Linked DNA regions of Cricetulus griseus. The protein of the gene in region 7 purifies or fractionates together with the protein of the main gene of each other region. This does not show direct contact. Links are inferred from orthologs where the notes say so. Each region holds a gene or a part of one and is shown on either strand. Other genes may lie near its edges. The genes, in order: Hnrnpa1, Hnrnpab, Ssrp1, Nop56, Ago2, Hnrnpa2b1 and Dhx9.

Region 1 (3,973 bases), on a different chromosome or scaffold from region 7:
ATTGCCTCCACTATAGGAGTCATTGTAGATAAAATATGCACCCCTACAATTCCCTCTGAAGGCAAGATGCCTCTCTTTCAAGGAATCTCTCCATTTACTTGATCCAGGTTTGGTCCATGGATTTAACCTCCCGACTCCCGCGCTCCCCACTGGAGTCCAGCCTCTGCCGCTTGGAGAAGGCCGGCCTATCGCGCGCTTGGAGCTCATTGGCTCTGAGAGACGCCACTCGGGCGGGAAAAGCCCGCCTCCCGCATTCGGATGGCCCAAGGGCCGATCCGTAGGCAGCTATAGGAAGACCCAATTGGCCTATACACTCGTCAGTCAAACGCTCTGGTAGCGCAGCCCAAAAGGACCTGGCAGAATTAAAACATCCCGCCCCCGTTCTCCCATTGGCTGGCCCGACCCATCGCGGCCCCTTCACTGTCGCTCCCCCAAGTCCAGCGGGGCCCATTCATTTCGTACAATAACGAGTCCAATTGGAGCGGGTCCAGGAACTCCCACGGTTAGTCAAGACTCTGCCACTTACCCGGGATCTACAGTGACCACTCACACTAAGGCCTGCGCGGTTCCTCTGTGGTAAAGCTGCACCACAAGCCACCCGCTACCGCCGCCTTCTGCGCAACGCCAGCCGCCCGCCAAAACGGATCCTTTCCCTGCGCCTGCGCAACCAATCCTGGGCCCAGACCTTTTCTCCGCCCAAAACGCCTGCGCAAAGCAGGACGCAGCTCCCGCCAGTACGCAGGCGCCTTAGGTTCACCGCCCTCTCCCGCCCGCCGCCCGCCATTTCACGTGTTCAGTAGGCGAGCGGAACTCCTTAGTGCGCCGGCGTAAACTCGCCATTTTTATTACACATGCGCTCTCCGGGCAGTGGCTGCAAAAGTGGTAGCGAACTACTTTTCCTAACGTGTCGTGTTTTGCCAAGTGAGGTTATAATGTTCGGACGCTGGGAAGTTATGCAAGGCGTTTAAAGACATGGGTACATTCAAATATAAACCACTGGTTAGCTAGTCAATCAACCTGGTTAAAAAAAAAATCCCCCAGAGCGTCGATGACTCCGAAGGGCGGAGACTGCGTAGAACGCCCCAGCAGATGCCATCTCTTAGCAGGGCGGATCCACAGACCTAGAGTGGGCGGGAACAATTCCAGATCTCCAATCAGAGTAAGGCCAGGGCGGAGTCTACCAATGCCGAAAGCGAGGAGGCGGGATAAAAAGGCGAGCCGAAGGTAGGCTGGCGGATACGTTCGTTGACTTACTCCTTTCTGCCTGTTGACGCGGCGGAGGAAGCATCGCTGAAGGCTCTCGTTTCCCTGCCGTCATGTCTAAGTCGGAGGTGAGTTGTGCGCGCTCTGCGGCTTCGTTTCCTTCCATACGCAATGAACAGGACGGGATGCGACCTATTTTTCTGGCTGGCACCCATGCTTTCGGTGTTTGATCGGTCGTTGCCGAGGCCTGCTCACAAAGTGCAGGTCGCCATTTTGTCCTCGTAGTCGCCATGAGGCTGCCGTCCGCTAACCGCTAGTTTCCACACTCGGCTCCTAGTGGCAGAATTCACAGATATGCGACCTTGGGGGTTGTGGCTCTTTTTATTTTCTTTCTTGGCTTTGCCTAACTAACGTCTGCTAAGGCTTCAGTAAGTTTTAATGGCGATTGACCAGTCCAGCCCGTGTCTTTTGTTGCGCGTGCGTATAGAGTAGGGACGCATGCGCTGCATGCTAGTCCTCCCCCCCACGCCCCAACAGCACCTCCTGGCCCAGAGAGGAGCACGTGGTCTTGTGCTGTAATAAAGAACAATAAAAAAGTGCGGCCTATGTTGATGCGTGGAGTTGATCCATTCGCTCAAGTTCCAGCCCCTTAGCTAACGGCTCTCCTTTGATCCGATTCAGTCACCCAAGGAGCCGGAACAGCTGCGGAAGCTCTTCATTGGAGGGCTGAGCTTCGAAACAACCGACGAGAGTCTGAGAAGCCATTTTGAGCAATGGGGAACACTCACCGACTGTGTGGTAAGATTAGAAGGAACAAAAGGCGGGGCTGGTTTAATTTTATTGCTTTAATCATGCCGCACTTCTTACCCAGATGCTTTGTGAAGGTAATTAATGGTATAATTTTAAAAGGATCTTTGTTTGGGGGCCTTATGCTTGAGTCTAAATGGAGTTTTATGCTGGACATGTTCAGAGTTGGAATGGCCTCAGGTCCTGATATCAGGCAATATGTTGATTGAATTAACTCTATAAACAGGTAATGAGAGATCCAAATACGAAGCGATCCAGGGGCTTTGGTTTTGTCACGTACGCTACTGTGGAAGAAGTAGATGCCGCTATGAATGCAAGGCCACACAAGGTGGATGGCAGAGTTGTGGAACCTAAGAGAGCTGTTTCAAGAGAAGTGAGTGTTATTATGCTAATAGTTGGGTTCTCTTTTATCTAGACGCCAGATAGACCCCTAGAGTGCTGGGATTAAAGGCGTGGGCCACCACAGCTGCCAATCATTTGAAATGTACTAATAATGACTGCATCATTTTCCTTTTAGGATTCTCAAAGACCAGGGGCCCACTTAACTGTGAAAAAGATCTTTGTTGGTGGTATTAAAGAGGACACTGAAGAACATCACCTTCGTGATTATTTTGAGCAGTATGGGAAGATTGAAGTGATTGAAATCATGACGGACAGAGGCAGTGGGAAAAAAAGAGGGTTTGCTTTTGTCACCTTTGATGACCATGACTCTGTGGACAAGATTGTTAGTAAGTGTCAGATAATTAGATTTCTCTCCTCCTCCTCCCTCCCCCACAAACTGGGAATATTCTGTAGCTTTGGGTCCTTTCCTGGAAATGAGACCCGCCCTCAAACTCAGATGGCCTGTCTCTGCCTCCTGAATGCTGGGATTTATGGGGTGTTCCACCCCCCAGCCAGATTACATTTTTCTTTTGGGTGGATTCGAGACAGGGTTTCTCTGGCTTTAAAGGCTGTCCTGGAACTAGCTCATGTAGACCAGGCTGGTCTGAAGCTCAGAGATCTGCCTGCCTCTGCCTCCTGAGTGCTGGGATTAAAGGCGTGGGCCACCAACACCCATCGTGCTCAGATTTCTTAATGACTGGGACTCAGTGTGTTTAAAGCCCTAAAGTTAACTTTTTTTTTTTAAGTTCAGAAATACCATACTGTGAATGGCCACAACTGTGAAGTGAGAAAAGCCCTGTCAAAGCAAGAGATGGCCAGTGCTTCATCCAGCCAAAGAGGTATCTCTTGCTTAGTTAGAACTTGCAGAGGGTAGTTGGGTTGTTGCTGCAAGTTGGTCTAATGTAATGATCCAAACATCTCTTAAGGTCGAAGTGGTTCCGGAAACTTTGGTGGTGGTCGTGGAGGTGGTTTTGGCGGCAATGACAACTTTGGTCGAGGGGGAAACTTCAGTGGTCGAGGTGTGTACCTTTTGGATTTCTTAATTGCTTTTGGAACGATGGATAACTGCTAGTCTTTGTTTATAGCATTTAGATTTTACCCAAAACATAAGTTTTCGTTACACAGAGATTAGCATTTGCTTCATTCATATACCTAAAGCTCTGGTTTCTTACAGGTGGCTTCGGTGGTAGCCGTGGTGGTGGTGGATATGGTGGCAGTGGGGATGGCTATAATGGATTTGGTAATGACGGTAAGTTTCTTAAGGAATCCGTAAGTAAAATTTCTAGCAACCTATACCTTTAGACTAGGCTAGTAGACACTAAACCTAGTGCATGACAAAATCAACCAGCCCCGTAATACGCATGCTGTGAGCAGGCCATTAGTCATTACACTTGCATAGATTTTTATTGTTAAATACTTTTGTCTTATTGAGAAGGCTTGTATTCTTGTAGGTGGTTATGGAGGAGGCGGCCCTGGTTACTCTGGAGGAAGCAGAGGCTATGGAAGTGGTGGACAGGGTTATGGAAACCAGGGCAGTGGCTATGGCGGGAGTGGCAGCTATGACAGCTATAACAACGGAGGA
Region 2 (4,234 bases), on a different chromosome or scaffold from region 7:
AGAGAAACCCTGTCTCGAAAAACAAAACAAAACAAGAGCTAGTTCCAGGACAGCCTCCAAAGCCACAGAGAAACCCTGCCTCGACTGCCCCACTCTACCCCCACTCCAAAAAAAAAAAAAAAAAGAAAAATGAAAGGAGAGAACCAGGAAGTTTTTTGACTATTACTTTTTTATTTTCATTTTTTATTTATTTATTTATTTTTTTTTGAGATAGGATTTCTCTTGTAGTCTTCGCTGTCCTGGAATTTACTCCGTAGACCAGGCTGGCTTCAAACTCACAGAAATCCATTTGTCTCTGCCTTCCAAGTTCTGGGATTAAAAGCATGCGCCGTCACAGCCTGTTTAAGATTGACACTTTTAATTGATGTCTACATGCAGGCCCTAGCACGTGTGTGCTTACACTCAAACATTTCTGTGTTATGTACATATACACAGAAATCATGGGATAACTCAGGCCTTTAAAGCCTTGTGGTTAAATCGTAAAAGAGAAGTAGTCCTCTTTAACATCACCTCATATGTGATTTAACAGGAAATTTTTCCTGAAAACAAGTTGTTAGACTAGGCAGGGTGGAACATGTCTGTAATCATGCCCTGGGTACAGAAAAAGACTTTCTTTCTTTCTTTCTTTCTTTCTTTCTTTCTTTCTTTCTTTCTTTCTTTCTTTCTTTCTTTCTTAAAAAGTCATGTAGAATAAATGAAATTAAGCCAGGCATGGTGGTGATGCTGCACAATCCTAGCACTGAGCGGGTGAAAAAGGAGTGTTTGTCTGGAGTTAAGGCCAGTCTGGGCTTCGAGATCCTGTCTCAAAAAACAAAACAAAACCCAATCAACGTTAAAAAGAAATAAATTAAAAGCAAAACTAAACATGAATGCGATGTTAAGTATCTATCGGTATTAAGCTGAAACTGGAAACACCACACTCCAACGGTCACGGCGTCAGACCTCCACGGACCGCCCCAGCCAGCATCGCTGGAAGAGAGGGCAAGAGCACCGGCATCTCGGCACACCGCGGCTTAGGAGAAGGCCGCTTTGAGGGCCTCAGATGACCCTAGCACCCCATTATCTTGGAAACCAAGATTCGGCTACTTCCTCCAGGCGACCTTGGGTTTAGGGCTTCCTCCGGGGCATTTATCCCCTTTTGGGAGGCCGGGATTGTTAGTGTGGGATGGGGTAAGCGGAGGGGACGACAGACTGTCGTGTGCGCCCCCCAGACAAAAAGGGACACTTGAGGCGCCCGCTCGATAACCGGAACCGTACGCAGTTCTGACTCGCGCGCGTTCTAAAATGAGGACAAAGCCCGCCCGGATCTAGAGCGCGCGCGCCGCATCAGCCAATAAAATGCCACGACAGTGGTGAGTGGCGGTTGGCTTCAGCCAATCAGAATATGTTTTGTTACGAGGTGCTCCCCGGCTCCGGCATTATAAAGAGCTCCACGAGTTGGCATTGTCAGGCGGTGGCACCGCGCGGGACGGAGCTGAGGTCTCATCTTTGGCCTGTGTACGCCGGCAGTCGAGCCGAGCGACACCGTCGGTGGACGCGGACGAGCTCCCGGGGGTGCGGGTGTCAGCGCGGCCAAGCCCGCGGCGCCTTCCGCGGCGAGTAGGGCCTCGCGGCGTCATCGGCGGCGAGGTGAGCCGGCCGGGCCGCGGGCGGTGGGCGGGAGCTCGGGGAGTGCCGCGGGGCCTGACGTGCCGTCGCCGCTCGTTGCAGGAGCCGCTGCGGCCTGGCCGACCATGTCGGACGCGGCTGAGGAGCAGCCCATGGAGACGACGGGCGCCACTGAGAACGGACACGAGGCCGCCCCCGAAGGCGAGGCCCCGGTCGAGCCCGGCGCCGGGGCACCGGCCCCCGCAGCCCCGGCCGCGTCTGGGGGCGGGACCACGGCGACCCCGAGCGGGAACCAGAACGGCGCCGAGGGCGATCAGATCAACGCCAGCAAGAACGAGGAGGACGCGGGGTAGGTGCGGCCGCGGGCCGCTGGGCCGGTGCCTTTGTTCCGGGGCAGCCTTTTGTTGGCGCCACGCGGCGGGGGGAGGGGCGGGCGGCCCGCCGAGCGGTGCCTGGCGCGCTCGCCGGCGGGCCCAGGCGCGGTTAGGCGCATTGGAGTTTGCAGGAGTTTGCGGGGTCGACTTTGCGGTCGCCCTGGGCTGCTCGCGGGGTGCTTAGACTGTAGCGGGCCTCGAGGCGGGAGGCCCCGGAAGAGGAAAAGCGGCCGACCTCGAATCGGGCCGCGAGCGCTGCGTCTGGGCTGCGTGGGCGGAGTTGGCGCGCGGCGGGCCCGGCCTAGCCTGCCTCGGGTCGAGGGGCGGAGTCACGGCCTGAACCCTGGGGCGGTTTCGGCCCCAGGAAACCCAGAGTTCCTCGGGATCAGTTCTTGGGAGGCGGGGAAGAACGGAACGGGAGCTCGTTTCCATTCTGGAGTACAAACACGCTAATTTAAACTTGTGACGGCTTATGGTTCACGTTTGTGACCAGGTTGTCCTTTTTCCACACCGTGTGGCTATACGATCTCCATACAGTTCCATTTGAGTCGAGATGCCAGAGTAACACAGGAGGGATCAACTTGAAAAGGGTCATCTCGGGCTGGCCTGTGGCACCGTGGCTTCACAAGTGCTTGCTAGGAAAGTGTATCCGGGTCAGACTTTTGTAAAAATCACATCCTGCTTCTAAGATTTGTGGTCGTTGTTTTCCTTTCAGAAAAATGTTCGTTGGTGGTCTGAGTTGGGATACCAGCAAAAAAGACTTAAAGGATTATTTTACTAAGTTTGGAGAGGTCGTGGACTGTACAATTAAAATGGATCCCAACACTGGACGATCAAGAGGGTTTGGGTTTATCCTATTCAAAGATTCTTCCAGTGTAGAGAAGGTAAGCTGGGTGTTAGCAGCAGTCTCTATTAGGATTCTAAGTCCTAAGGAACTCGGGCACTGCAGTATTTGATAGGGACAAAGAGCTTAAATTCCTGTTTTGAGGGGTAGTACAGATTAAATGGGTTATATGTGAGGGAATGATTCTGGGGGATTACTGTTCGTACTGTTTTAAAAGCTTACTGCATATCCTGTAGGAGGGCAGTGAGCTGGGCAGTAACTAGAGTCCTGCCTTCAGCCCTCCCTTAATACTTTTTTGTTTTTGGTTTCTCGAGACAGGATTTCTGTGTAACAGCCTTGACTGTCCTGGAACTCACTGAGAGATTCCTCTGCCTCAGCCTCCCAAGTGCTGGGATTAAGGGTGTGTGCCATCACCACCCGGCTGCTTATTACCTTTTTTATATGCTTATTTATGGGCTTGGTGTTAAATATTTTACTGTGATTGCTGTGAGGATAGTTTTTTTTCTTAATACAATTTTAATGGAGATGGGACCCCAATTCCTAAATCTCAGAAATGGTGAAAATGCATGCATTTATACAGGGTGGAGAGGATTTCAGCACTAGATTATCTAGTGTTCTTTGTCACTGCTTTAATGAAAGGTCTTAAGTAGGGAACTACTGGTTAGGAGGAGTGTAGAGCCTGGGTAGAGGCTAGTGGGGGTGGCTTATAGGTATTCAGGTGGTCCTCTGTATGGGAGGTTAGGAAGTCAATTTGGTTTAGCCCCAGAGAGAATTAAGCCCTCTTTGTATTTGTGTTGGATTGAACCTAACATGTTTCTGTTTTACACAGGTCTTAGACCAGAAGGAACACAGGCTGGACGGTCGTGTTATTGACCCTAAAAAGGCGATGGCTATGAAGAAGGATCCTGTGAAGAAAATCTTTGTGGGAGGTCTGAACCCTGAAGCCACAGAGGAAAAGATCAGAGAATACTTCGGCCAGTTTGGGGAGGTGAATATGGCTTCTGTTTCTTTCTGCTCTTCTTTGACTTTGCCTGGCCAGATTATTATATTAGTAGAGTTTTCTCATCTTTTCAGTGGTCTTTTCTTGGCAGGTTTCTATGTTCTTGGGTACACCTAAGAGGTTTACACCTAAGCTTTGTTTGTTTTTACAGATTGAAGCCATTGAGCTTCCAATAGATCCCAAGTTGAACAAAAGACGGGGTTTTGTTTTTATTACATATAAAGAGGAAGACCCTGTGAAGAAAGTTCTGGAGAAAAAGTTCCATACTGTCAGCGGAAGCAAGGTAAGGTGTCAGAACTGTTTTACTGGTTTTTGGTTCTTGGAGGTGTAGATTAGCTACCTATAGACCCTTTGTTAGTAAAACCTTACTGTTTCTCTATAGTAGTACACAATGACATTAAAACAGTT
Region 3 (3,500 bases), on a different chromosome or scaffold from region 7:
CATGCTGGGAGTCCTCACTTGCCAGTGACAGTATAACAGTAGTACCCCTGTGCTATATCAGTCAAGACTTCTGATTGTCCTTTTCAGAAAGTAAGAAGGCTCACACTGGCTCCACAGGGTTAAGTGTGTGTTTTTTTTTTTTGTTTGTTTTAGTTTATGTAACTGGAGAGTTCAGGAATGTAGTTGACCATGGGTACTACTGGATCTCAGTGCTCAGAAGTTGTGAGGAATCTGCTTCTGATTTTACTATTCTTAGAAAGCTTGCTCTATGTCCCTCAGGTCTAGGAAGGTTTAATGTGGATAGCTTAACACCCAGAAGCACCTCTTGGTGAACAGCACAGTGGATAGTGTTGTCTCTGGTCAACTGCCTTCCTGACCTTGAGATAATATATTTGTGGCTCTAATGGAGCAGAACCACCTTAGACTCTGCAGTTAGAATGAGCTCCTTTCCTACAGAAAACTGGGATTGTTGATGTAGAAAGGTGGGGCAGCAAAATCAAAACCAAACTGACCGTCTTTCAGAAGTTCACTAGTTGTGCTGGCAAGGGTTAATAAGGCACAGATGCTTATTACTTGCCTCGGGAGCCTTTCAGTAGTAGGCAAGTACCAGCAGCTGTGTGTCCAGAGGAGATGCGCTTTATTGGACGGGAGAGTCAGACACAGGGACTGGCTTCAGTTGAAACTTGGTTTCCTCCCTTTCAGTCTTTCTTTAGCAGAAGATTGTAGTATAAACTAAGGTGATTTAACCAAAGGGAGTGATGAAGTAGACTTGGTATGCTGCAGGCTAGCAGGAGACAGTATTGAAGGGCAGGAGTGGAATAGAACCTACCTGGCTTAGAGCAGAAGAGCCCACTGAAACATTGGTTTTTTATTGATTGAATAAACAAATAAGCCTTTGTGGTGGCTGGGTCTGGAGAAGGGATATGAAATCATTTTAGTGAAAGGCAGGAAGCTGGGGTGGCAATTAGTGGTGGAGCCTGTCCTTGGGACTTACTCCCTTGGCCCTTTCTGGGCAGATGTCTAGATTCCTTTTACTACTTTCTCAAGACATCTGGCTGGGCAGTGGTAGCACAAGCATTTAATCCCAGCACTTGGAGGCAGAGGCAGGCAGATCTTTGTGAGTTCGAGGCCAGGCTGGTCTACAGGGCGAGTTCCAATTCTGTGTAGCCAGAGCTACACAGAGAAAACCTATCTCAAAATGAAAGAAAAGATCTGTATCCTGCCTTCCTTTCCTGAGTCTAAGCCTTACTCTGGCAGGTTTGACAGCAATGCCTCTGCCAGCTCCTCCAGTAATGAGGGGGACAGTGACCGAGAAGAGAAGAAGCGGAAACAGCTCAAAAGGGCCAAGATGGCCAAGGATCGCAAGAGCCGCAAGAAGTCTTCAGAGGTACAGACTCACCTCTAGATTGGGAGAGTGAGTGTGTGCGTCTCCATTTTCTGTTTTCTTTCTCCTCTCCACTCGCAGCAGGTCCTGTTGGTTGTGCTGCCTTTTGGGTGAGTGTGGCTTTGGTAGATACCGTCTAGGTTTTCTTTTTGGCCCTGAGATACTGTTTCTAGAAGATCTGGGTTTTTTGTTTGTTTGTCCAATTTTAATATTTTTTGACAATTTTAACATACATTCAATGTACTATGATTTTATTCATACCCCCTTTCCCTCTGTTCCCCTCCTTCAACTCCTGAACTAGTCCATCTTTTGCTTTCATGTCTTGTCTTTTTGGTTTGTATCTGATGAGTTTAATTAGGATTGCTTGTATAGCATGTGTAAGACCTTACCAGTGGCTGCCCCGCTGAAGAAAATGACTCATCTTCTCCTAGCAACTGCATGTTAACTGCATGTAGCACCTTAGGAAGGGTGAGCCCTCGTGGTTGCCTCTCCTATCTATGATAGAATATCAGGACCCAATCTTGTATTGGCCTTGGGCAAGTATCCATAGCTGTTGACAGTCACAGCAGCCATGCTGTATCTGGATGGCAGTGTTTCATAGTACTCCTCCCTTTTCTCTGGCTCTTGCATTCTTCCTGCCCACCTCTTTAGCTGTATTCCCTGGGCCTTGGTGATAGAGATATTCCATTTAGGACTGAGCACTCATTTGTAACTTGTTCTTAGTACCATGACAGATGTGAGTCTCTGCATCTGAATTAGGAGACATCCTGCCTCTGCCCAGGGCATCTCTTGGAGAAGGAAAAAGCGGCTAGTCCTGCCCTTAGAGCTGTTCCTGGGTACCCAGTTCCATCTAGTTCTCCCTGCATTTTCCCCCTCCCCAGATGGTTTCCTTGGGGAAACTTAGGATAGTTGAGAAATATGGATGGCTGATGGCATTTGGTTTCTTTCTCATGTAGGCGAAGAAGGGTAAAGATCCAAATGCCCCTAAGAGGCCTATGTCTGCATACATGTTGTGGCTTAATGCCAGCCGAGAGAAGATCAAGTCAGACCATCCTGGCATCAGCATCACAGATCTTTCTAAGAAGGCAGGCGAGATCTGGAAGGGAATGTCCAAAGAGAAGAAAGAGGTGAGTAACAGTGGAAAGGAGTGGTGGTGAGAAGGGCTTTGTGGGGGTGCAGGGTGTGTCACTCATCCATCTGTAGATACAGATTTGCTTGCATCAGTCTAAAGGACTGTTTGTGACAGGAGTGGGACCGAAAGGCTGAGGATGCCAGGAGGGAATATGAAAAAGCCATGAAAGAATATGAAGGAGGAAGAGGTGAATCTTCTAAAAGGTGAGTGTTAGGAACAAAATGGTCCCAATAACTGCTCTTTTTAGCAGATTTTTTTTTCCAGGTTAGAATTGAGAATTGTGGTACATATTTTTGACAGCAGTAAAATAGTGCTTATGCCATTGCCGAGTATAGGTGTTGTATGGAGTTAGGAGATAAATATGGCCCATTTTCCTCGATCAGTTTTATATTCAAATAAATAATGGGAGGGTTTAGAAAAAAGTATTTTGTGAAGCTTAATTCAAAATCCATATGAACTTTTAAACAAAACAAAAGTGCCAGGTAAGTTTTGCATAAGTTGCTTCAGGCCGTGACCCTGGCTCTTCAGGTACTCACGTATGATCCTCTCCTTTGGTGTACTTTGGGCTACAGAGCTGACATTATATTTGCCAGGGTGAGAATAATATGGCCATTACTGGAGACGTCCTCATTAAAGCCAGGAGAAATGTGGCCTATCTGATAATATGGGAAGACTAATGGCCTGGCGTCTTTTCCATTTTCTTAATATAGGGACAAGTCTAAGAAGAAAAAGAAAGTAAAAGCAAAGATGGAAAAAAAATCCACTCCCTCTAGGAGTTCATCATCCAAGTCTTCATCAAGGCAGCTAAGTGAGAGCTTCAAGAGCAAAGAATTTGTGTCCAGTGATGAGAGCTCTTCAGGAGAGAACAAGAGCAAAAAGAAGAGGAGGCGGAGCGAGGTGGGGCAGGAAGTCTGGGCGGTTGAGGGGCATTTGAGTCTGGGGTGGGTAAGACAGGGTTGTGGTTTGTCTGTAAGAGTAATGAGT
Region 4 (4,286 bases), on a different chromosome or scaffold from region 7:
TCAGGTACCATACCCATTACCAGATGTTCAGTAGGAGATTGTTACAGAGATGAATGAATCTCTAGTCTTTATCTGAAGAAACAGAATCTCAAAGTTAGGTGATTAATTTCAGGTCACACTGGAAGTCACAAAGCTTGGGCTTTCACCCGCAGGGTACACATACATGGCCCTTCTGGTCACTTCTAGGGTTCCATGCAGCTGAAGTCAGTGGCAAGGGGTAGGACACAAGTCTATTTTGGCAATGAGAGTTGGAGGGCTGGGCCTCTGTCCATTTCCATATAGTTTCAGGGCTTCTACCTCTCCATGGGACTCATCAGCCCATTTCTTATTCGACGAAGTCAACAAGCATGCAAAGGGCTAAGGACCAGAAATGACAAGACCTAATCCTCCTGTGTCTGTGGAGACACTGGACCTACTGGAAGAGCCATGTTTACAGCCCCTGTGCTTGAATTTTGTGAAGTCACTGAGTTAAGAAAACAAAACAGACCTAACTTATAAATGTGCTTTCTGATAGAATTTCCAAAATCCCCCTAGGCGTTGTAGAAGAGTAAGCAGAGGGTCTGCAATGGATTCTCTATAGATGGCACAGGGCTGGGAGGCAAGAGGATCAGAAGTTCAAAGGTCATTCTCTGCTACAGAGCCAATTGAAAGACAGCCCTGGAAAGAAAGAGATAAAGAGGGAAGGAGGAAGGGAAAAGAAAGGAAGCGGGGAGAGAGAAAGGAAGAGCGACGGGAGATAAGGGTGAGGAAATGCGAGGTCGAAAGAAAATAAAGAGTGAATGGAAGGGAGGAAATCTTGGCATTGTTATTAACCCATTAAGGCACGGAGTATCTAAAATATAACTACGTTTGGGACTTGTAACTCTAACATTACTTAAAAAAGGTTTTTTCTTTCTTTAAAGAAAAAGTAATTTTAAACTAGCCACTTCGGTGTGCCTAAAAGCAGCCCTGGAGAGCAGGAAGCTGCTCCTTGATAGATAAGGGCCTAACGGGCGATGACAAACACGTGGCTCCGCGCAGAGCTGGCGCAGAGCTGTGAAACAGGGCAAGGAACAGACCTAAACCACCCTTCCTATGCACGCTACTGCTCGCACCAGTACTTTCTGAGCAATAAAATTTACGAGGAAGAGGCAGGCGGCGAGGAGCCGCCATTTTTGCAGCGTCTGAGGCGGAGTCGCAGGCGGCAGGCAAGGACCCGGACTGTCACCAGAGGCCTCGGGCCAGCGGAAAGCCTGCGACGCTCGTCATGGAGTGTCTCGTCCCCTCACCGAGTTCTGCCGCTCGGCCCACGGTGACAAAAGCACGAGAGACGGACAAGGGCGGTCTCCAGAGCACTATGCAGCCTCAGGCTAGAACGGACGCCATTTGCCCCGGTCTCCGCACCGGCTCGCGCAGCCGCAGAGGCTCGGATGGGCCGGCCCGCTCGCGCCCGCTGCAGTCTAGCGCGCCCGGCGGACGATACCACACCCGCGAACCCCTCCGAAGACATGAAAATGGTTCCGTCCTCAGCCTCTGATTGGCCAAGGAGGGGAGGGCGTGGTCTCCGCAGTCTAGTTCCGCGCGCCAGAGCGCGCTAGCCGCATTGCGAGCTGGGCACGGAGCAGGCGCCATGGTGAGGAGTGGTTGTGGGTTATTAGTGACGAGAAGGCCTCGGTGCGGGTCTGGGTGTGCGTTCGGATTCGGGTTCGGAGTATGGGCCAGGACCTGCTCTAAGAGCGGCCGGCGGGACTCGGTAGCTTGACTGATGGCCGCGCGCCGGTTCCCGTTTCAGGTTGTGCTGCACGTGCTGTTCGAGCATGCGGTCGGCTACGCGCTGTTGGCCCTGAAGGAAGTGGAGGAAATCAGCCTGCTGCTACCGCAGGTGGGTGGGATCGGTGGGCTCGGGGTGCTGCAATGCAGCCCCTAAGGCCGCCGAACCCCATCATGCACCGCGTGTTCCCACGTGGCCGACCGCACCGGCAGAGGGGGGGGTGAAAGCTCAGGAACGAGATTTTTAATTAATGCGTATCTGTATAATCTCCTTAGAGAGTGGAGATAAACACCTCAAATCTTGAGAATTAAAGTAGAATCGGGATGTGGAGCTTAGGCACCAGTGTTCCCATGAATATTACAGCTGGTTCCTGGTTTACTGCGCTGTGGAGGCCAAATTCAAAGAAAGCCCATTCATTCCTCCTCTCCACAGGTGGAGGAGTGTGTACTTAACCTTGGCAAATTCCACAATGTCGTTCGTCTGGTCGCCTTCTGTCCGTTTTCTTCATCCCAGGTTGCCTTGGAAAATGCCAATGCCGTGTCTGAAGGTGAGTTAGTCGCTCAGCGACGAGTGATTCTAAGCGACGGTGTTCTAAGATGATTTTGCTGAGCACGTGATGCATGCTAGGTATTGGGACCTACAAGATGACAGTAGGAGCTCACTGCTTCACAGTTGTGCCACCGTGGTGAAGCCAGGCTTTGCACTGATGACTTGAAAAATCTGTCAATCCACTGAGTGTGATCACTGATGTCTCCATGTTTCTGAGCAATGCCTGGAGGGGTGGGTGTTCTTTCGTGATCCGATGTGGAGGTGGAGTCTTACAGGTAAAGTGTTCTTTGTCCCAAGGTGTTGTTCATGAGGACCTCCGTCTGCTCCTGGAGACATACCTGCCGTCTAAAAAAAAGAAAGTATTGCTGGGGGTTGGAGACCCCAAGATTGGTGCTGCAATACAAGAGGAGTTGGGGTACAACTGCCAGACTGGAGGTGTGATAGCTGAGATCCTTCGAGGTAAGATAGTCCTCCTGTTCCGAAGCTGCTAAGATTTTATGTGTTAGTGCTTGCACTTACTGCGTGCACCATGTAAGTGCAGTGCCCACAGAGGCCAGAAGAGGGAGACAAGAGGTAGATGGTTATCTTGGCTATTCCGTGGCCACGTGTTTTATTCATAGTCCCGCCTTTTAGGAGTTCGTCTGCACTTCCATAATCTGGTGAAGGGTCTAACAGACCTGTCTGCGTGTAAAGCCCAGCTAGGGTTGGGACACAGCTATTCTCGGGCCAAAGTGAAATTTAATGTGAACCGGGTGGACAACATGATCATCCAGTCCATAAGCCTTCTGGACCAACTGGATAAAGATATCAATACCTTCTCAATGCGTGTCAGGTAAGATGCAGTGCATGGGCTACCAAACACTGGGCTCTTTGGCCTGTGGTTTAGCTATTATAAACTTAACAAGGGTCAAGCAGGGTTGACAATTCCTGCGGGTATAATCATGGGCTAAAGCCAGGCCTCCTTGTGCTTACCACAGGCTGTGTTCTTAACACTGACTGTATAGAAAGAGGAGGCAGAGTAAACCTACCCCATGTACACCTCAGCCTAGGCCATTGTGCCTGGTCTGAATTGTGAATGGGGAGACATGGATTTGAGGGAGACTTGGGATCTGGTTTATTTGAGGTTTGGCAAACTGGGTAAGGGAATGATTGTAACTCTGCAGGGAGTGGTATGGGTACCACTTTCCAGAGCTGGTGAAGATCATCAATGACAATGCCACCTACTGTCGCCTGGCTCAATTCATTGGAAACCGCAGGGAATTGAATGAGGAAAAGCTGGAGAAGCTGGAAGAGTTGACTATGGATGGGGCCAAGGCTAAGGCCATTTTGGATGCCTCTCGGTCCTCCATGGGTCAGTGCAGAGCCTGGCAACCTGCATAAGGTACGAGACTCCTTGAGTATTTGGTCCCCCTGTTCACACTAGGTGTTTCCTAGGCATGGACATATCTGCTATCGACTTGATAAACATCGAGAGCTTCTCCAGTCGTGTGGTGTCTTTGTCAGAGTATCGCCAGAGCCTACACACTTACCTTCGCTCCAAGATGAGCCAAGTAGCCCCCAGCCTGTCAGCCTTAATTGGGGAAGCGGTGCGTTATGGGACTACAAATGGGGGAGTAAAAATGTTAGCATACTGTACCGCTATACTTCTGGCTACCATGTTGTCCCTAGTTGTTGCATGGTGGGGAGGAAAATAGGGGTGAAACTGATAAGTCAAGTTCCCCCCTACTCACCTGGCTTCTTCCTTGGATCTTTCTCCAGGTAGGTGCACGTCTCATTGCTCATGCTGGCAGCCTCACCAACCTGGCCAAGTACCCAGCATCCACAGTACAGATCCTTGGGGCTGAAAAGGCCCTGTTCAGGTACCAGTGAGGGTGCCTGCCCATGTCAGGTGCTACTTCTGGTGCCCGCTGCTTTGTTTGGGGATTACAGTGATGGCTGACCAGGACTCCCTGACCTATACAGGCCTCTGCTATGGGGGTGATGGCCA
Region 5 (3,940 bases), on a different chromosome or scaffold from region 7:
AATTTCTTCAATGAGACGCAACCATATTTCCAAATGTAGGAGGATGGAAGGCCATTGTATCTGAATTCTAGAAACGTTACAAAGAGTTTTGCGGCTCCCCAGCTTGAAGGGAAGTAAATACTTAGTAAATTAACATTAAAAATAGAATTCACAGTGGGTTATTATCCCCCTTTTACACGTGTGAAGCTGATAGCTGGAGGTGGGGGGGCAAGGTTCAGAACTTGACAGGTTTGGGTTGTTCCCCCACTCCCTTCCAAAAGGGTTAATGGTTTAGCATATGTAAATTCTCTACCCAACCGGAAACTTCCTATTAAAGTGGGTTATAGGTGGGGTCCCCCACCCAAGGTTTTTAAGCTGTCTGGCTGTACTCCGGCTTTTATTGCCCAGGAGGATTTGCTACAAAATAACCTCTATGACAGTGAAAAATGAGTGTAGAGTTGCCAATCAGGATTGGGATTTTTGAGCATATACTGTGGCCCTGCTCCCTGGATTCTCCCCCAACTCCCAGTTGTGTGGGAGGGTACCACTGCAGCTTGGCGGGCTCTGCTGCCAGCGGCTGGAATGCATACAGCATGGTGGCTGATGAGCATTTGTGGGAAATATCTCCCCCCCCCCCAGCCTGTGTAGTTATTTAAATAAGGTGTTGCTTGTAAAAGCTTTGATTTACACATTCTTAAGAAGCAACATTTTGTAACTGAGTTTCTTTGTCAACACCATTGGGTTTATTCTTTGCCGTTCAAGAGACTGGGCTGCCAGGATGACAAAAATGTTTCTTTTTTTTTAAGCTATATGAATTGTTATTGTAGAAAATGTAACAGGATTTTTAAAAAGTTTCTACCTTGAAGTAATTTTACATGAAAGCAGGGTGAAAGCAGATTTGGTTTGTGCCTGTCCATTCCTCCTCCTCCTGCAGTTATAGGTGTTTGGGCGGTGGCTTTCCAGCTGCCTCTTCCCCACTGACATCCTCAAGCATGCTCCAGATCAGCCAGTTCACCCTGACATGCTTGTGTGTACAGAATACAGGGAATTTTTGTTTGTTTGTTTGTTTGTTTGTTTTGCCCCTTCTCTTTCAGAGACAGGGTGGGCTGTATAGCCCGAGCTGGTCTCAAGCTCATTCTCCTGCCTCTACTCCTGGAGACATGGGATTACAGGCTTATGTCACCACAAAGAGCTGGTGCAGGTATGTATGAACACAGCCCATTGCCATCGTTATACCAGGTGCTATCACTTCTCTTGGCTTCAGAAACATGATTACACTTGGATTATTTTTTAAATTTTGTTTTTATTTGTATGATTAGTGTTTACCTACATGCATGGATATGTACCACATACATGCCTGGTGGCCCCAGAGACCAGAAGGGGCATCAGGAAACGAGTCACAAACATTTGTGAATGTGGATCCTGGGAACTGAACCTGGGTCCTGCAAGAGCAACAAGTGCTCTGAACTGCTGAGCCATCTCTCCAGACCCTACAACTGATATTAGAATATGGAGTTATGAAAGAATGTGTAAATTTGGGTTTCTGTCATCTAAATCTTTCTTGGTTGTATTTTGGTTTTTGAAACATGGTACCCAGGCTGGCTTTGAACTCATTTTCCCTTGTGGGACATCCCCAGATGTGTGCCATTACATCAGCAGTGTTTTGCCAAAGCCTTGAAAAGTAGGCCTCTTCCACCTTTGTCTGCATTTCCAACTCCAGATGCCTACATCCTCTTCCTTTATCTGCTCCTGACCCAGCACCCTGCAGCTTCACTCTACCAGCATCACTATCTCACGGGCAGTGAGGCTACGCTGGCCCAGCTCCAGCCTGCACCATCCTTTTCACCCTGGCAGGTTAAATAAAGTGAAGCTCTTGTGGTGAAATGGCGTCAAGCTACAACTTAATTTCCCACTTTCACCTCTAGAGCTGAAGAACCTGAAATCCCTATTTATACCTTTTTTTTTTTTTTTTTTCCTCTTTGAGACCAAACAACTGTGCCTTTCCATCAGTTTTTCAGTAGAGCTGTGCAGGGTTCATCATCTAACCTGGGAGCTTCCTCCAGTCAAGTGTGGTATTTGGACAGCCGGCAGACCTGGTGGGCCATACCTAAGTCAGGCCTGAGGCTCAGGAGCAGCACCAGGGCTGAGTGTGTCCACTTGCTTCACACCCAGTGCATCTGGAGTCCTCCTGATGCCTGAAGGTACACATGTGGTGTCCCTGAGATGGTATACCAAAATGTGTTGCTGCAGCCCCAAGCAGGGGGCCCACCGGGTGTGTGAAGCAGCCAGACCCTCTGCTGTCTGCCAAGAACACAGTGCCTCTGGCTCTTGGACACTGGACCAGCATCCGGGAACTCTATTCTTGGTCTTCCCTAGTGTCAGCAGGGGCATTGGATAGATGAACATAGTCATCCACTTCAGTCCTGTCCTCCTAGGCATGTGTGGGGAGTTTGGCATCTGTATGGGTCTCAGTTTCCCTGTCTGGAGCATGTGAGATATTTCCCAGGTTGCTCACACCCTCTGGACATTGTGACCTGGATTCTTTTTCTTTCTGGTGTGGCACAGGTTGAAGGGGAGCCATGTGTATGTGTCCCCAGTCATCTTGAGAACTTGCTGGTAGGATGATTGGTTACCCAGAGTAGCCAGACAGGGCCCATTAGAACCAGGTTCAAGATGAGCCTGCAGAGGTAGGCTTCCATTGCTGCCTATATACATTACAAGTGGTGGGCTCTGTTCCATATGCCAACACAGATATGAGTTCCAGTCAGGTACTTAGACATGGTTAAGACTGAATGGAATCTTATGGAGATGCAAAGAGCATTAAAAGCATCCACCTCCCATGTTTACAGTGTGTCTGTACAGGTGCTATTGGTTCCTTGTCCCTACTCCTCCTGACTTCCAGGGAGCTCACTTGAAGCTTAGAGTCCTTGGAAGCATCTTGAATAGCTCACTGGAGAGCACAAGGCCAGGGGAGCTCGGGAGGGATGCTGAGGAGGGCAGCAAGGGAGTGAGGAGTTGACTTAGGGATTAGGTAGCTGGATGGTGCCAGTGGTTTAAAGAGAGGATTTGGGGCCTTGGAGATATTGACCAGGCCAACACTGTAGGAGTCAGAGAGGAGGAAGAGACCCCGGGCAGGAACTGCTTCCAAATCTTTGTGGTGCCAGGTGGGCAAGCTCATTCTGGAAAAACACCAGATAGTTCTTCATGTGTGTGTTTGGGCAGGAACTGGCTCCAGGGCTAGCCATGGGGACCACCCTGTCAGCTCTCTTAGCTTCCTTTACCTAGGAGAGGGTGGTGATGGATTGTGGGTTGTATTAGATATTTTTCTTTTGTTGTGATAAAACACTATGATCAAGGCAACTTATAGAAGGAAGTTTATTTGGCACTGATCATTCCAGGGGGTCAGAGTCCATCATGGCAAGGAGGCTTGGCAGCAGAAGCAGGAAACTGAGAGCTCACATCTTTTCAGACATTTACAAGCATGAAGCACAGCAAAATGGAAATGGCAGAGTCTTCAAGCCTTCGAAGTCTGCCTCTTGTGATGTACTTCCTCCAAGGCCATGCCTCCTGAGCTAACTAGGGATCAACTGTTCAAATGCCCAAAACTAGGGACATTTTTCATTCAAACCACCACAAGGGTGAACGGAGTTGAGCCAGTGCCTCATTGTCTCTAGGGGAGACTCATCTGTGTGAATGGTCCAGCTAGACAGGCATTGGGTTTGTCTGTACCTTCATCCTGACAACCACTGTTATGAAACATTGAGTAAATTATTTCATGGCCATGGCATGAAGAGAGGCCAGATGTCACTGAGTTTTAGGGCTATTAGGTTTGGGGTGCTGAAGGGAACAATTTGAAGCTGGGGGTGAGTGCTGGAGGTAGGTGTGAGAAAGCCAGGAGAAGTGGATAAGGCTCTGGCCCCGGACAATCTGGGATTCCATAGCTGGCGCTCAGTCAGCCCTC
Region 6 (3,425 bases), on a different chromosome or scaffold from region 7:
GTTTGAGAAACTACTATGAGCAATGGGGAAAGCTCACAGACTGTGTGGTACGTTAAATGTGAAAGTCTGACTGTGGGTTTTAGTATGGTTGAGTTTAAGCATAAATTTTGGGCTGAGCCAGCCTGCAGTGCCACATGCCTTTAGTCCCAGCCCTTAGAGTCTGGCGGATCTCTGAGTTTGAGACCAGACTGGTCTATAAGAGCTAGTTCCAGGACAGCCTCCAAAGACACAGAGAAGCCCCTGTCTCCCAAAAATCCAAAAAGGATAATTTTCTTGTTGGGATGAATCATACAGGAAATTAGTATATAAAAAAGGACATTGGGGCGGGCTCTCAAACAGGGTGTCTCTGTAACCAACCACATTAGCCTCGAACTCTTCTCTCCAAATTCTGAGATTAAAGGCGTGTGCTACCACACCTGGCCAAAAAAAAAAAAAAAATAAAAAAGACCAATTGGTTTGTTCATAACTACCTTGAAATTAATGCTGACATCTTTTGGTTTTAAAGGTTATGAGAGATCCTGCAAGCAAAAGATCAAGGGGATTTGGATTTGTAACATTCTCATCCATGGCTGAGGTAGATGCTGCCATGGCTGCAAGGCCTCATTCCATTGATGGCAGAGTAGTTGAGCCAAAACGTGCTGTAGCAAGAGAGGTGAGCAAAATATGTTCAGTGGTTTTCTTGGGTTGTACTAGCTTTTTGTACATGACTTTCTAGGACTTAACTTCAAATCTATTGCTATATCTGAAGGAATTTGTCCTAAGACTGAAGTATAAGTTTGTGCTTTCAAGGTGGTTTAATTTGTGTATTTGTTTTTTCTGTCAGATAACTTTGTCACTATCTGTTGTAGGAGTCTGGAAAACCAGGAGCCCATGTGACTGTGAAGAAACTGTTTGTCGGTGGAATTAAAGAGGATACTGAGGAACACCACCTTAGAGATTACTTTGAAGAATATGGGAAAATTGATACTATTGAAATAATTACTGATAGGCAGTCTGGGAAGAAAAGAGGCTTTGGCTTTGTTACTTTTGATGACCATGATCCTGTGGATAAAATTGTATGTAAGTGTCTAGGCATAAGAGTGGTTGTATATAAAATGTTGGGTGTATTAACAGCCTGTTAAAACATTCAGGATTGCACTGGGTGTTGGTGGCACACACCTTTAATCCCAGCACTCAGGAGGCAGAGGCAGGCGGATATGTGTGAGTTCCAGGCCAACCTGGTCTCTAGAGCCAGTGCCAGGATAGGCTCCAAAGCTACACAGAGAAACCCTGTCTGGAAAAACCAAAAGAAAAATTGCTTATTAGAATGTATTTATGATTCAGTTTTTTTGTTTTTGTTTCAGTGCAAAAATATCACACCATCAATGGTCACAATGCAGAAGTTAGAAAGGCATTGTCTAGACAAGAAATGCAAGAAGTCCAAAGTTCTAGGAGTGGACGAGGAGGTAAGAAATCATACATTTTTAGATTTGTGTATTTTATATGTATATATACATTTGATGGGTTTTGTCTGAATGCTTGCTACTAATCAAAACATATATCCTAGGAAACTTTGGTTTTGGTGATTCTCGTGGTGGCGGCGGCAATTTTGGACCAGGACCAGGAAGCAACTTCAGGGGGGGTTCTGGTGAGTGTTTTTAAAGGGCATGATTTTTGAATGGAATGGTTTTATTCGGATTTAGGATGTCCTGTGTTGTGTGTTGGTAAAACATGCTGAGCATGTATGGTGCTATTAGCCTAATGTTGAATCCCTAACACCTTAATTTCAGTATGTGGGAACAAGAGGCAGGAGGATTAGAAGTTAAGTGTCTTCCTCAGCCATGCACACACGTTGAATTCAATATAAACACTAGACTGTTCATAAGTCTTTGTTTCTCCCCAAAAAACTGTCAAAACTGGTAGATAATTTATTTCTTCTTAGGTTATAGTTTGTGTGAATGTTGTGACTTAGAAGTTTTGATGCACTTTAGACCTTTATATTAAGAAAATAATTTTTCTTATTAACAATTGGGGTTTTTAAAAAATGAGTTGCTTTGGTAGTAAGATGCAGTTAACATACCCCCCCCCCCATGAATAAACTGGTTAAGATTTTCAGCCACCCTCATTCTGAGATACTAATAGAAAATATTGAGAAAAATAAGTGTAACTTTACTTTTTCTAAACAGATGGATATGGAAGTGGACGTGGATTTGGGGATGGCTATAATGGGTATGGAGGAGGACCTGGAGGTTAGTTTCATTGAGAGTTTAATATTTATTTAATATATTTACTAGTATACTTTGTGCTTTATTAAATATGTGTATCACTTATTTTGCCTGTCCGTACTTGGGTGTAATTGTTATTTGGCTTTTAAAAATGCACTCTTGAGTTTTGTAGCTAAGCAAAGCATGCCTGTAGCTAGGTGGGGATTGCACTTTGTAGAAAAGCTAAAATGTTGGGATTTTGAGGTCTGTGTGTTATGGGGGAATATCAAGAGTACAGGTGGATCCCCTTAGGATAACATTTTACCTAAGGGACTTATCCATAGCCTATAAATTTTGTTTTTTTAGATGATCTCTATGTAGACCAAGTTGATATCAAACTTAAGAGATCAGCTTGCCAGAGTTTAAATCTTGCCTGAATGCTGTCCCCATATTTCTTCCTCAAACTGCAGAGCATAAGAATTTCAAATATTTTCTGGTTCAAAGTATATAGTAATGGTATTACAGGTTACCTTACGTTGTTTTAAATGGTGGTTTGTGACCCTGAAACATTTGCTCAAGAATAGTTATTTTACCTTTGAGTAAATAGACTAGAATAGACTAAAATAATTAACCTTATAAAAAAAGTTGTATTTTGAAAAACCAGAAATGAGTGTAATAAAGACAATTCAAATGGAATTGTAAAAATTTAAGCAATTACTTAAAGGCTTATTTTATAATAGGTGGCAATTTTGGAGGTAGCCCTGGTTATGGAGGAGGAAGAGGAGGATATGGTGGTGGAGGACCTGGATATGGCAACCAGGGTGGGGGCTACGGAGGTGGTTATGACAACTATGGAGGAGGTAATAAATTCATCTACAACCTTTATGTTGGAATTTGGATTAGAATTAATGACACTTATTTTTATTGTCACCTAGATGCTTTAAATTGTAGGATTATAGATAGGTACCATATACTTTGATTTTTGTAGAAAATTTATCCTAAAAATTAAACCTCAGTTATGGTTTAGTTCTTATAATAGTTCAGAGGTCTATTAGCTGATACTCTTAATTCTTTCATAGGAAATTATGGAAGTGGAAATTACAATGATTTTGGAAATTATAACCAGCAACCTTCTAACTATGGCCCAATGAAGAGTGGAAACTTTGGTGGTAGCAGGAACATGGGAGGACCATATGGTGGAGGTAATAAGACTTGAAATACATCTAGGCAATTGAGGTATAG
Region 7 (3,500 bases):
TCTCACAATGAACATTCCTCATTCCTGTAGATGTGCTGAGGAATCGACTTACATCATCATCTTCACCACCATCCTCTTCTTTATCTTTCTTCTTCTTGTCCTTTGGAGGAGGAATGAATTGGGTCATCTGAATGCAGTCCTCCAGAAAATATTCTGTCAGGGACAGTCACATTAGTTAAGTACGTGATAATTTATAAAATGTCACAACTGCAAATTCATTTGCTAATCCACAGTTGAAACTACTTTCATCCTCATCAACTTGAGGCTTCACAAGTATAAGAAATTCCTACAGTTAAATTTCAACAACAGAAAGTACATTATGATTCCATCAAACTCTGCAAGATTTGAGATAATTCTTACAAAGACAGCTGGGGTTTCCCCTTTATACAACTTTTTAAAACCAAACTTTCATGGAATCTGTGTATACCATCATCCTCTCCCAGGAGGATGTTAATGCAAAGACTGAAGATCACTAATCAATGCTGTGCCTAATATTCTAAAACACCAAGAAGTGACTCTATAATCTCTATTCTGTATCTTCAACCATAAAGCCACCACCCAAGACTGCAAACCAAAGGTACATAAATTAATGTCCACCAATTTTATTCACTATTAAGTTGTACTCCCCTGCCACTTAGAAGTCCACTCTTTAGGAACAAATATTACTATCAAGTCCACTCTGAGTAGTAGTCAAATTTTATTGGCAAGGAAATCCACGTACACATACTATTTATAAGGTTTCTGCATGAAATCTGTAATTGCCACTTTTCTATTCAGTGTATATTTGTAATTTAAACATTAAACTTAATCTAGTACCATCATTAGCTTTCTGCTCAAACTGTGCCCATCTCTGCCTTTTGCCCAGATTAGGAGAGATTAAAAAAAATTTAGTGGCATGGCAGCTATTGATTTCATCACACTGTTAAGTCTCTTAGGGTTAGTTGCGTTTCCTTACCTGGACTGTGCAATAAGTTATTTCAATAAAATTCATATATTCTAGGTTGATCAAAATTTTTGATCAAGTTTCTCTGTAGCTTTGGAGGCTGTCCTTGAACTCAGAGATCCACCTGCCTCTGCCTCCCGAGTGCTGGGATTAAAGGCGTGAGGCACCACCCTTGGCCGATTAATCAAAATTTTAAATCATCAACTCAGCTGCTGTCCCAATGCCATGCCTGCTTCCATGCTTACCATGTTGATCATAGACTAACCCAAAACAACAGTATAATCTGTAAGAAACTTAATTCCTACCCTCTACTATCTACTAATCTCTTTATAAAGTTCTTCAGTATTGAAGTACATCAATTATTAGAACTTTGAAACCCATAGCCTGAGAAACAATAAGATTATGTCACAGTATTTGGCTTAGATGGGTGCTGGGCCCACCATTTATTTTTTAATTAAAACAATGTAGCATAGCATGGCTATTCATCTCACACAAATACATTTCACAATATTGTCGACTCTCTTAGCAAATTTAATTTCCTCAATTGGGCTGTGCAATGCTACTTCAATAAAATCAAGATGTTCTTATAATAGTCAAAGTTTTATCAAAAGCATAGAAATCAATGGCCTGTTTTTTAAGCCTGTATTCATATGGTATCCTAGGAAATCCACAGAGGATCCCCTGGGGTTGCAGATGGTTGTGAGGCAATACTGGCATGTTTTCAGTCTTTTAAACTATCACTGTGATCGCCAAAATTAAGAAAATGCATAGCTTCCTTCCCATCATATCCACATAATTTACCTTGAACTGGGAAAGTCCTTCCATAAACTTCAATGATGGGGCAATTAAAGAAATATTCACAGAACATGGTGGTATCAATAGTTGCAGACATAAGAACAATTCGGACTTCAGGATAAGCCAGAACCACATCACGAAGTACTACCAGAAGGAAGTCAGTCTATTGAAATAAGAACAATAATTGTAAGGGGTAGCAAAATACACCTTTAAGATTTCTAATAGTCATAAGACATTAGTGAAAATTGTTTCACACACCAGTTTAAGATTACAGTGAATTTTTAATGAGATAGGGTGGTTAAGGATCTTAGTATAGCATTGACTTCACTATACCTTATAGACCTTAGACTTGATTCCTCTTTCTCCCAATTCCAAAGCCTAGGATTATAAGCATGTACTACCATCCCTAGTGTTATATACTGCTGGGAAACCAAACTTAGGGCTTCCAGCAACTGACCAGCTTTTTCCTGTTTCTGTATGTGTACTTGCATGCTTAAGAGGGGAAAAAAAAACCTTTAGGTAAAGTTTAAAATGCACAACTTTCACTAGAAACATGGTAAAAATCAGTTCAAATAAAGTAACAGCCACAACTTAGTTTTATAATGTTTAAATTGCCTGCCATATCACCCACCATTATATTTATGGGTCCTCCCTATGTAGGCTTTGTATATATACCATACTTTTTATGTCATGCCTATCTCAAAAGACTCTAGAGGAAAGGAATTTGAACAGAGGTATCCTAGGGGTGGGTATGGAGTCAGTGAATGAAATAGCTCCCACAAACAACCAAGTCAGTAACTGAAATGCTAGGAATGGCTATTTAGCTAAATGCTGATATCCAGCAACATTAAGACACATATACTTCTAACAGTGCTATATAGGTATGCATATCCTGGTCTACAGAGAGAGTTCAAAGATAGCCAAGGCCATACAAATTCTGTCTTGAAAAACCAACAAAACAAGTTATGTTAAGGCAAAAACACTCCCACCAATTTGTCAGAACTTAAAAGACCAATCCCTTTAGAGATTTGGTATCTATGACATTTAGTCTTTTCTTTATGAAAATTATCTACTTCTTTTTTGATGCTATGTTCACGCCTTGCATGTCTTTTTATTAGACATTAAACTCGTTTAGGTTTTCATCTAGAACAATGTTTATTCTAATCTGGGTATAGTTTTCCATGTAAAAGATACAGGATTCTCCTTCAAAGTATTCATCCTATATTTCTTATTGTATGATATACTGCCTATCTGATGAGGTTTAACACCTTTAAAGTAGAATAACTATCCATGGTATTATTCCAGACATTAATTTTAACTCTTTAACACTAGTATGTCAACACTATAGTTAAGTCTCTACTAAAACATCTGGGTGTACTTGTTCATACTTTTAATAAATGACTAGGGAAGCTAAGGCAACAGGACTGTTCAAAATCAGAGGCCAATCTATGTTGAGGACCCTGTTTTAAAAAGAAAACCAAGAGTAACTCCTAGATTCCAATAGCAACTTGGGATAGTTTGAATGACCAAACTATGTGGACACACTTTTTCTTGTATCAATAGGATCTTTAAAAATTGTGTATTTCAATATCAAACTTCAATTCCTACAATTGTATAATAAAACTATACTGACTTGCCAAGCACCCAAGGCAAAGGTGAGAAATAAAATTTTCATTTTCCTGTTTCCCATGATGATTTTTAGCATCTGAAATAACCTACCAATACCCACCAACATTTTGCCAAAAGCACAGTATCACATACA

The links.
Region 1: the proteins of Dhx9 (region 7) and Hnrnpa1 purify together in Homo sapiens (affinity purification with mass spectrometry; 7 studies listed by BioGRID and IntAct, with this or other methods). This does not show direct contact. The link is inferred for Cricetulus griseus from reciprocal best matches to the Homo sapiens genes DHX9 and HNRNPA1.
Region 2: the proteins of Dhx9 (region 7) and Hnrnpab purify together in Homo sapiens (affinity purification with mass spectrometry; 3 studies listed by BioGRID and IntAct, with this or other methods). This does not show direct contact. The link is inferred for Cricetulus griseus from reciprocal best matches to the Homo sapiens genes DHX9 and HNRNPAB.
Region 3: the proteins of Dhx9 (region 7) and Ssrp1 fractionate together in Homo sapiens (co-fractionation; 3 studies listed by BioGRID and IntAct, with this or other methods). This does not show direct contact. The link is inferred for Cricetulus griseus from reciprocal best matches to the Homo sapiens genes DHX9 and SSRP1.
Region 4: the proteins of Dhx9 (region 7) and Nop56 purify together in Homo sapiens (affinity purification with mass spectrometry; 3 studies listed by BioGRID and IntAct, with this or other methods). This does not show direct contact. The link is inferred for Cricetulus griseus from reciprocal best matches to the Homo sapiens genes DHX9 and NOP56.
Region 5: the proteins of Dhx9 (region 7) and Ago2 purify together in Homo sapiens (affinity purification with western blotting; 5 studies listed by BioGRID and IntAct, with this or other methods). This does not show direct contact. The link is inferred for Cricetulus griseus from reciprocal best matches to the Homo sapiens genes DHX9 and AGO2.
Region 6: the proteins of Dhx9 (region 7) and Hnrnpa2b1 purify together in Homo sapiens (affinity purification with mass spectrometry; 4 studies listed by BioGRID and IntAct, with this or other methods). This does not show direct contact. The link is inferred for Cricetulus griseus from reciprocal best matches to the Homo sapiens genes DHX9 and HNRNPA2B1.

Annotation. Positions count from the first base shown.
Region 1 is NC_048595.1:399,611,948-399,615,920, forward strand, and holds the start of Hnrnpa1 (heterogeneous nuclear ribonucleoprotein A1), read left to right. Parts: upstream 1-1,173; 5' UTR 1,174-1,316; coding exon 1,317-1,331; intron 1,332-1,884; coding exon 1,885-2,001; intron 2,002-2,236; coding exon 2,237-2,383; intron 2,384-2,527; coding exon 2,528-2,738; intron 2,739-3,137; coding exon 3,138-3,230; intron 3,231-3,317; coding exon 3,318-3,410; intron 3,411-3,565; coding exon 3,566-3,640; intron 3,641-3,842; coding exon 3,843-3,973. UniProt on the Homo sapiens protein: Involved in the packaging of pre-mRNA into hnRNP particles, transport of poly(A) mRNA from the nucleus to the cytoplasm and modulation of splice site selection.
Region 2 is NC_048600.1:65,881,110-65,885,343, reverse strand, and holds the start of Hnrnpab (heterogeneous nuclear ribonucleoprotein A/B), read left to right. Parts: upstream 1-1,434; 5' UTR 1,435-1,629; intron 1,630-1,710; 5' UTR 1,711-1,733; coding exon 1,734-1,957; intron 1,958-2,697; coding exon 2,698-2,866; intron 2,867-3,655; coding exon 3,656-3,814; intron 3,815-3,977; coding exon 3,978-4,109; intron 4,110-4,234. UniProt on the Homo sapiens protein: Binds single-stranded RNA. Has a high affinity for G-rich and U-rich regions of hnRNA. Also binds to APOB mRNA transcripts around the RNA editing site.
Region 3 is NC_048599.1:90,490,868-90,494,367, reverse strand, and holds part of Ssrp1 (FACT complex subunit SSRP1), read left to right. Parts: intron 1-1,257; coding exon 1,258-1,387; intron 1,388-2,340; coding exon 2,341-2,511; intron 2,512-2,630; coding exon 2,631-2,719; intron 2,720-3,226; coding exon 3,227-3,413; intron 3,414-3,500. UniProt on the Homo sapiens protein: Component of the FACT complex, a general chromatin factor that acts to reorganize nucleosomes. The FACT complex is involved in multiple processes that require DNA as a template such as mRNA elongation, DNA replication and DNA repair.
Region 4 is NC_048599.1:48,334,196-48,338,481, reverse strand, and holds the start of Nop56 (nucleolar protein 56), read left to right. Parts: upstream 1-1,486; 5' UTR 1,487-1,609; coding exon 1,610-1,612; intron 1,613-1,771; coding exon 1,772-1,861; intron 1,862-2,182; coding exon 2,183-2,297; intron 2,298-2,448; exon of another isoform or gene 2,449-2,519; intron 2,520-2,596; coding exon 2,597-2,758; intron 2,759-2,932; coding exon 2,933-3,131; intron 3,132-3,254; exon of another isoform or gene 3,255-3,388; intron 3,389-3,462; coding exon 3,463-3,650; intron 3,651-3,733; coding exon 3,734-3,885; intron 3,886-4,057; coding exon 4,058-4,158; intron 4,159-4,220; exon of another isoform or gene 4,221-4,286. UniProt on the Homo sapiens protein: Involved in the early to middle stages of 60S ribosomal subunit biogenesis. Required for the biogenesis of box C/D snoRNAs such U3, U8 and U14 snoRNAs. Part of the small subunit (SSU) processome, first precursor of the small eukaryotic ribosomal subunit.
Region 5 is NC_048595.1:370,847,700-370,851,639, reverse strand, and holds the start of Ago2 (protein argonaute-2), read left to right. Parts: upstream 1-1,140; 5' UTR 1,141-1,155; coding exon 1,156-1,180; intron 1,181-3,940.
Region 6 is NC_048601.1:89,870,355-89,873,779, forward strand, and holds part of Hnrnpa2b1 (heterogeneous nuclear ribonucleoproteins A2/B1), read left to right. Parts: coding exon 1-47; intron 48-505; coding exon 506-652; intron 653-848; coding exon 849-1,059; intron 1,060-1,343; coding exon 1,344-1,445; intron 1,446-1,546; coding exon 1,547-1,627; intron 1,628-2,165; coding exon 2,166-2,228; intron 2,229-2,923; coding exon 2,924-3,043; intron 3,044-3,262; coding exon 3,263-3,385; intron 3,386-3,425. UniProt on the Homo sapiens protein: Heterogeneous nuclear ribonucleoprotein (hnRNP) that associates with nascent pre-mRNAs, packaging them into hnRNP particles.
Region 7 is NC_048598.1:38,201,283-38,204,782, reverse strand, and holds part of Dhx9 (ATP-dependent RNA helicase A), read right to left. Parts: intron 1,902-3,500; coding exon 1,745-1,901; intron 154-1,744; coding exon 53-153; intron 1-52. UniProt on the Homo sapiens protein: Multifunctional ATP-dependent nucleic acid helicase that unwinds DNA and RNA in a 3' to 5' direction and that plays important roles in many processes, such as DNA replication, transcriptional activation, post-transcriptional RNA regulation, mRNA translation and RNA-mediated gene silencing.